Linked DNA regions of Macaca mulatta. The protein of the gene in region 1 purifies or fractionates together with the protein of each later gene. This does not show direct contact. Links are inferred from orthologs where the notes say so. Each region holds a gene or a part of one and is shown in the gene's direction. Other genes may lie near its edges.

What was found.
Region 2: the proteins of PRDX1 (region 1) and TXN purify together in Homo sapiens (affinity purification with western blotting; 3 studies listed by BioGRID, with this or other methods). This does not show direct contact. The link is inferred for Macaca mulatta from reciprocal best matches to the Homo sapiens genes PRDX1 and TXN.

The regions. Positions count from the first base shown.
Region 1 is NC_133406.1:195,098,790-195,102,289, forward strand, and holds part of PRDX1 (peroxiredoxin-1), read left to right. Parts: intron 1-195; coding exon 196-318; intron 319-554; coding exon 555-685; intron 686-1,042; exon of another isoform or gene 1,043-1,769; intron 1,770-1,890; exon of another isoform or gene 1,891-2,076; intron 2,077-3,500. UniProt on the Homo sapiens protein: Thiol-specific peroxidase that catalyzes the reduction of hydrogen peroxide and organic hydroperoxides to water and alcohols, respectively.
Region 2 is NC_133420.1:48,154,404-48,158,468, forward strand, and holds the start of TXN (thioredoxin), read left to right. Parts: upstream 1-1,265; 5' UTR 1,266-1,369; coding exon 1,370-1,393; intron 1,394-4,065. UniProt on the Homo sapiens protein: Participates in various redox reactions through the reversible oxidation of its active center dithiol to a disulfide and catalyzes dithiol-disulfide exchange reactions.

The DNA.
Region 1 (3,500 bases):
AAGCAGCAGCTTCAGTTGCAGTTGAGTGTACCCTAGTAACCTACCTTAACTGTTCTCAGCATTCACTTTATTGCTGGAAAAGGAAAAAAACAGTTTTTTTGGAAAGTTAGATTAGGAATATGGGAAAGGGGGAAAGAGGAATAGGTACAGTTAAGTCAAGAGTTTGAATGTAACTGTGTTTGCCTTTTGCCGTAGGATCAACACACCTAAGAAACAAGGAGGACTGGGACCCATGAACATTCCTTTGGTATCAGACCCGAAGCGCACCATTGCTCAGGATTATGGGGTCTTAAAGGCTGATGAAGGCATTTCATTCAGGTATGTCATCAGGACAAGTACCCAGTTGGCTGAAAGCCTTTTATTTGGAGAAATCTAGAGCCCTGATCTGTAGAGACTCCTTCATCATTTCATTCCTTTATGCAGGGGCCTTCTCACTAAGGCCAGGCCAGTATGAATGTGGAGACCAGTTCATTTCCTTAAGACTTCAAGCTTCTGTATTCTAACAAAGCACATCTTTAAACCTGTATTGCTTTTCCTTTCATCTCTTTTCCCAGGGGCCTCTTTATCATTGATGATAAGGGTATTCTTCGGCAGATCACTGTAAATGACCTCCCTGTTGGCCGCTCTGTGGATGAGACTTTGAGACTAGTTCAGGCCTTCCAGTTCACTGACAAACATGGGGAAGGTAAGCCATCTGTCTGATAAAAGGATAACAGAGTGGTGGTAGAATGGGAAAGATAGTAGGAACAGAAGCTACCTAATAAGAAAAGGGGTATTTCTCTTCAAGATATTGAAGCCCCTGGATTACAGTATGTGAGGGTGAGGGTAATGGAAAAGCTTGGGAAGGAGAATATAAAGACTTTTTATTCGAAGTGTACATACTCCTCTCTTCTGCCCTGCTCATTTAGAATCAGTCACTCCTAAAGATCTAACTTAATGTAGGATGATCTCACAGATGTATTAGGGCAAAACAAAATGGTTGGGAATCACATCTAGAGATGAAGCATGCCATTTAAAAAATAACTGTTGAGAGAAGAGGTTAATCCATATAGTTCATATTTGTATTTATTTATTTATTTATTTTTTGCAAGACAGAGTCTTGCTCTGTTGCCCAGGCTAGAGTGCAGTGGCGCAGTCTTGGCTCACTGTGACCTCCACCTCCCATGAGCCATCGCGCCCAGCCCAGACTAGCTTTCTAAGGCCCATTTTAGCTCTGATCTTGTGATTTAAAGAAAATGAAGTTTAGTGACTAGAGTCTGGATTAGTGGTGTATGTTTGGGAAGACCCAAAGGTGCTAGTTTGGCTAGCACCAAATAATCTTTTTACAGGGATTACTTTTTAATCCCTGTAAGAGTCTGATTATATAGGGATCAGTGAGCACTGATAACCAGGAGGTACCCTTTTCAGAAGGATGTGTGGGCAATTAGCCTGGACAGATAACACATGGCTCAGCTGACACCTGCTGAGACTGCCCCCTTGTGGGAGATGAGGTTCAGCATTAAGAAGGAGCCGGCAGTGGCAAAGTAGGCCCTTTAACTGGACTTTCCTGGGAACCTACATATAGGTTAGTCTCCCGAACACAAGCTTTCATGACTCAGAAGCTTGCTTCTTCAGACTCTATTGGTCTCTTCTGCTTCCCATCCCACTGGAACATGTACAGCTTCTTAAATAGGCACCATTCAAGAGCCTATGAATGCCAAACACTATATATATATATATATATATATTTTTTTTTTTTTTTGAGACAGAATCTTGTTTTGTTGCCCAGACTGGAGTGCAGTGGTGTGATCTCGGCTTACTGCAGCCACCACCTCCTGGGTTCAAGCAATTCTCTAGCATCAGCTTCCTGAGTAGCTAGGACTACAGGGGCCCACCACCATGCCCCACTAATTTTTGTATGTTTTGTAGAGATGCGATTTTGCCATGTTGGCCAGGCTGGTCTCAGAACTCCTGAGCTCAAGCTCAAGCAGTCCTCCGCCTTGGCCTCCCAAAGCACTGGGATTATAGGCGTGAACCACTGTGCCCGGCTGCCAAACACTTGTTTTTTTGAGATGGAGTCTCGCACTGTCATCCGGGCTAGAGTGCAGTGGTATGATCTCAGCTCACTGCAACCTCTGCATCAAGCAATTCTCCTGCCTCAGCCTCCCGAGTACCTGGGATTATAGGCGCTCACCACCACGCCCAGCTAATTTTTTATATTTTTAGTAGAGACGGGGTTTCATTATGTTGGCCAGGCTGGTATTTATTTGCTTTTATGCTGTTCTTTCCAACTTGTTTATCTTTAGGACCTGTATTGTAACCCTTTGATATCACTAAAGCCAATAACTAACAATCAGATGGAGATTTTAGGAAAATAATGGCAGCTTGTCCTTCTATTTAGCTCTTGTTCCATCTGTACCTTATGCCTAGAGAGCTGTTTGTAGAGTCTTGATATTTGAGGTTATGATATCCTTGGACCAAAGAGGGGCCTCCCTATGTCTCACTTGAGCAATTGAGACTCTTGCTGCTCCTGCTGGACTTTGATTACATGTCTCGTAGAATATGACAGCACATGGTAGTGGAAAAATCAGGCCAGGTGCGGTGGCTCACGCCTGTAATCCTAGCACTTTGGGAGGCCGAGGCAGGCAGATCACCTGAGGTCAGGAGTTTGAGATCAGCCTGGCCAACATCGTGAAACCCCATCTCTACTAAAAATACAAAAATTAGCCGGGTGCGGTGGCAGGCGCCTGTAATCCCAGCTACTTGGGAGGCTTATGCAGGAGAATTGCTTGAACCTGGGAGACCAAGGTTGCAGAGAGAGGTGGGGATCACGCCACTGCACTCCAGCCTGGGCAACACAGCGAGACTCCATCTCAAAAAAAGAAAAAGAAAAATGAGAGATTAGTCCCCTTGCCTCACTTTCTTCAGGCTAGCCTGAGACACATTCTTAGGCATTGTCAGGAAAAGGTTGAAGGCTGTGCTTTCTGTATACATTCACGAAAAATCTCAAACTTTGCCTTTTGCTTACCGAGGGGTAGATGGCAGTTACTTAATGAAACAAGCAGGGGCTTCTATTAAGTTCTTGATCCTTTATAAGGTTCAGGCTTTCCAGTTTGGTAGCGTTAGAAGAATGCTGAGAAGGCAGACTGAGGTTGCTGCCTTCAGAGTTCTGAAGGGCTGTCAGAGGGAAACAGTTTAGTGTTAAGGGTTTACATAGTTCTATGTGTATCATTTACTTAGCTTTTTTTTTTTCCCTTAAGGACTAGAGAGTGTTGGCAAATCATTTAAACTTGCCTTTTTTGTGGAAAATTTAAATTTTAAGTGCTACATGAATAAATTAGGCATAATAGTATCTTAAGGCTGTGGTGATGATTATATAATGTTTGTAAAATAGTTAGGTTACACTAAAAGGCTGAATGATCTTAGACCGATTGCAGGGGTAGGTTTCCTGGTATCTGAGTGTTCAGGCTCTTTAGGGTGCAGAACTGGTTTTGTCCATAGGAGAATGGTGGTGCATACCA
Region 2 (4,065 bases), on another chromosome or scaffold:
CCTTCTTCTGTCTGAAAGAGCAAAAGAAGGAAGCCAGGGGTTCTAGGGGGCAGGCAGGCAGCAATTTCACCACCCCTAGGCAATCACACCTAGTTGCAGCTTCATTGGGAACAGCTCAGCTCTGAAAATACAGACCTGGGACTCTCCCTCCCAGCCTTCCGGCTCTCGTTCCTGTGAGCAGCTTTTCAACCTCCACTTTGAGCCGCTGACAGGCCTTCCTGGCGCCACAAGGTCAGCTAACATACCCACCTTCCACAATCCCCAGCCCTGCCAGACATAACCTGCAACAGGCATTCCTGGATCAATGCAAACTCCGACTTCTGTTCCAGGAGTCTGCCTCCTTTGAAAAAACTCACACAAATTTGCGTGCTGTCCCACTGTAAATGCTGTATAAGATGGCCAGGCCCAATCAGTCCCCGCAAGACACCGAATAAGAACTATCTATGGAGTGTTTACTATGTGCCAAGCACGGTCCTGATCACTTTGCAAGCACTATTAACCCTCAAAATAACACCACCGTGAGATTGAGACCATCATGATTCGCGTTCTACAGAAGGGAACACTGAGACTCTAGGAGGTCAGGACCTTTCTAGGGTCACAACTGCGTAACTAAGCTGCAGAGCTCAATCCGGCGGCACTTCCATCTCACAGGCAGCTGTCTGATGGTCAAGAGCCCAACCAGTCCCCCGGTCGTTTCTACCTCACTAAACCGCTGTGTCAAGCTGGAGCAGCGGGTTCAGCAGTGAAAATGAAAGAACAGAAGGAGGTTAGAGAAAAGAACGGTCACGGTAAATTCTGGAGAGGAGGCAAGGACGTACACACCGAGAAACTTCCTGGTCACCGTTACTCAGCACTTTGTGAGGTTCACGGGGCTGGGGATGGCCAGGGCGTGGCGGGACTTTTCGAGGAATCCAGCCCTGCCTGGGCGGTCCCAGGACTGTCCCCATCTCGAGCGTGGGCGCGTTCGATTCAGGCGCGGCGGACGCATCCCCAGGTGACCTGGGAAAGACCTTGTGTCTCTGGGGGTGACTGTCCGTCTCCCTGCCTCCCACCGTCACGCGCAGTGCTGATCCCCACTTCCAGCTGGGGCGCGAGCTAGGCTTGGAGGCGCAGGAGCCGAAGCCCTGGAGCTCCGCCCCACGCTTGCGCCAGCCCCGCCCCGATCCCGGCTCGCAGGCTCCAGGGGCGGGGCGTGGCCGGGGCGCAGCGGCGGGCGCGGAGGTCCGGGCGGGCGCGCGCGCCCCCGCCACACGCACGCCGGGCGTGCCCGTTTATAAAAGGAGAGCAAGCGGCGACTCAAGCTCGGTTTGGTGCTTTGGATCCGTTTCCATCGGTCCTTACAGCCGCTCCTCAGACCCCAGCAGCAAAGATGGTGAAGCAGATCGAGAGCAAGGTACGCGCTCCCGGGGAAGGCCGGGGCGCCGGCGCCGCGGGCGGCCTCTGTAGCTGGGGAAGGCGGTGGCGGGAGATGCGGAGGCCGCCCTTCTGCATCGCCGGGGGAAAGGGACGCGGCGTCTCGGCCTGGGACTGAGGGAAGCGGCGGCCTGGGCGCGCCCAAGGCGGTGGAGCCTGCCCTGGTGGAAGGGAAGAGAGGGACGAGGGTCCCCTGGAGGGCGGAGTGGCGGTATCCAGCGTTGCCCGCACCCTGTGCCCCGGGGGGTTGCACGCACGCGGGGAGCGCCCGGGAGATGTGAGAGCGCGGGCAGCGTGAGGAGCCCCCACGCTGCCCTTCCTGCACCATCCCGTCCGGGCAGCCCCGACTGGAGGAAGGCGAGGGAATAGAAGGGGTCCGCCCTTGGCCCCCTTCTGTATCCAGATTCAGGCCCTAGGCAAGGATAGAGAGGGCCCCTTGCAGAAGGCACGGGTCGCTGGCCGCCGCTGCCTTTCCGTATGCGAAGTGATCCACCCGCAGCGGGGGTAGTGATCTCCCTTGGGAGCTGGTCTAGGCCGGAGACCCTCAGCTGCTTCCACCCATTCCCGGCCCCAAAGGTGACGCGTGCTGTATCCGCACTAAGGAGGCGGATTGCGGCTGGAGACCCCTTGGCACGTGCAGGTCTGGCCAGGAGGCCAGAGGGCCCCAGGTGACCGCGAGGAAGTGAGGTCCGGGCCGCGCCCACGGGACTCCTGTGGCTCAGTGCGTGTTTCCGGCAGCAGTGGCTTTGGAATGACTCAGTCCCCAAGGTTGGGCCCGGGGGCCCCGGCTGCCCTGCCCGTCCGTGATTCACCCTCAGTCGGTGGGTTTTGCTGGAGCCAGGGTTCCTCCTGGGTGCAGCCGCGCCTTGCTGCCTGCTCGCCGACCTATCGGTATCCCGATCGATGTTTGTCCTTTTAAAAATGCCCAAGGCAAAACAGACTTCCCATGTTTGAAAGTTATTGCAAGCCTAAAACCTTCTAGACTGGGAAACCCAGAGCCTAACACGCAGTGTCTAATGTAGCCATTCCAGAAATATTTGTTAAATGCAGCGTCAGAAAAGTGAGTGGAGGAAATTGATACTGCCCGAACGGTAGAAGACCCCTCGCCAGCGCCTACCCTGCGATGACCCCTCCCCACCCGCGGGAAGCAGGGGAGGGCGGATCCTCGCCCGCCTTGAGTGCCCTGACCTGTTTGGTGCCGGGTGGGCTTCGGAAACAGAAGTGTGTCTGCAATGTGTCCCCGATCCTTTTGTGCCTTTGATTGTTATTGACTCAGTATTTTTTTCCTCGTATGTTGATTGCCACTGTAGTCTTTTATCTTCCTCTTAATCAGTATTTTCTTAGTGGGATTCTCATTTTAGCAGCCCTCATGTGTTGAAAAGATCCTTAGTAGTGAATTGTCTTTCATATACTTTTTTCCAAGCACCTATTGTGTGACAAATTTTAGTCCATTCCTGGGGAAGGGAGTGGGGCTGGGATTCTGTTCTCCAGGGTCTGGCAACCTCAGTATAACCGAACTGCTGAGAACCCCCCGCCACGGAGCCAGAAGACCTTTGAGTGGTCTATGTTAGTTGTCACAGTATCCAGTTACTACAAACAGAAAGTTGATTAGGATTTCTGGAGCACAGTTTAGTCCTCCCAGTTGTCAGAGCATGGTGGCACCTTCCTCTTCTACCAGTGACAAAGGTGTACAAGGGTGACAGGAACTTTAAAAAAAGCACTACAGCCTGGGGCCCACAGGCCCTGATAATCAATCCTCAAAGTAACAATCCAAAGTCATTGATCGAAAGTTACACTAATTTGATTGTTATTTGTTAGTTTGTTTTTTGAGACGGAGTTTTGCTTTTGTTGCCCTGGCTGGAGTGCAGTGGCTTGATCTTGGCCCACTGCAACCTCCACCTCCCGAGTTCAAGCGATTCTCTTGCCTCAGCCTCTTGAGTAGCTGGGATTACAGGCATGCGCCGCCACGCCCGGTAATTTTGTATTTTTAGGAGAGACGGGGTTTCACGATATTGGTCAGGTTTGTCTCGAACTCCTGACTTAAGGTGATCCACCAACCTCGGCTTCCCGAAGTGCTAGGATTACAGGTGTTAGCCACCGCGCCCAGCCTGTTATTTGTAAATGTTGAATATATCTTACGTTTTCATCCTAATGGACTAAATTGGCATCATTGGTCATTGAGAACAATTCTGTTTCTGAGGTAGTCTGTTAGTACGTTAGGGCCGACTGGGATCTATTTCAGAGAGGAATGGAATAATTGATTGTAAATGTGATGAGGAAGAAATAAACTTTAAAAAAAAGAAGAAGAAGAATGACACCTACCATTTATTCAACTCCCATCCACAAGGCACTTGGCTAAATACTTCAGAAACCACTCACACTTACTACCTTCAGAGTAGGTATGTTTAAGCAAAGAGATCTTAGACTCTGCTCCTATTTACCCCAACTACATTGTTTTGCTTCCCCCAGATTATTGGTGTCAGTGATGGAGACATTTATTAATAGTAACTGTTAGTTTCTGTGATTTCTTCTTAGTAATATACTCTTGAATAATTTTCAAGCTGATACCCGTTTGGAAGTATCAGAAGAGAGCTTGTACATGAAGCCTGCACATACCTGGGGTGTAACTCATGTTCATTTAGGCTAAAAGTT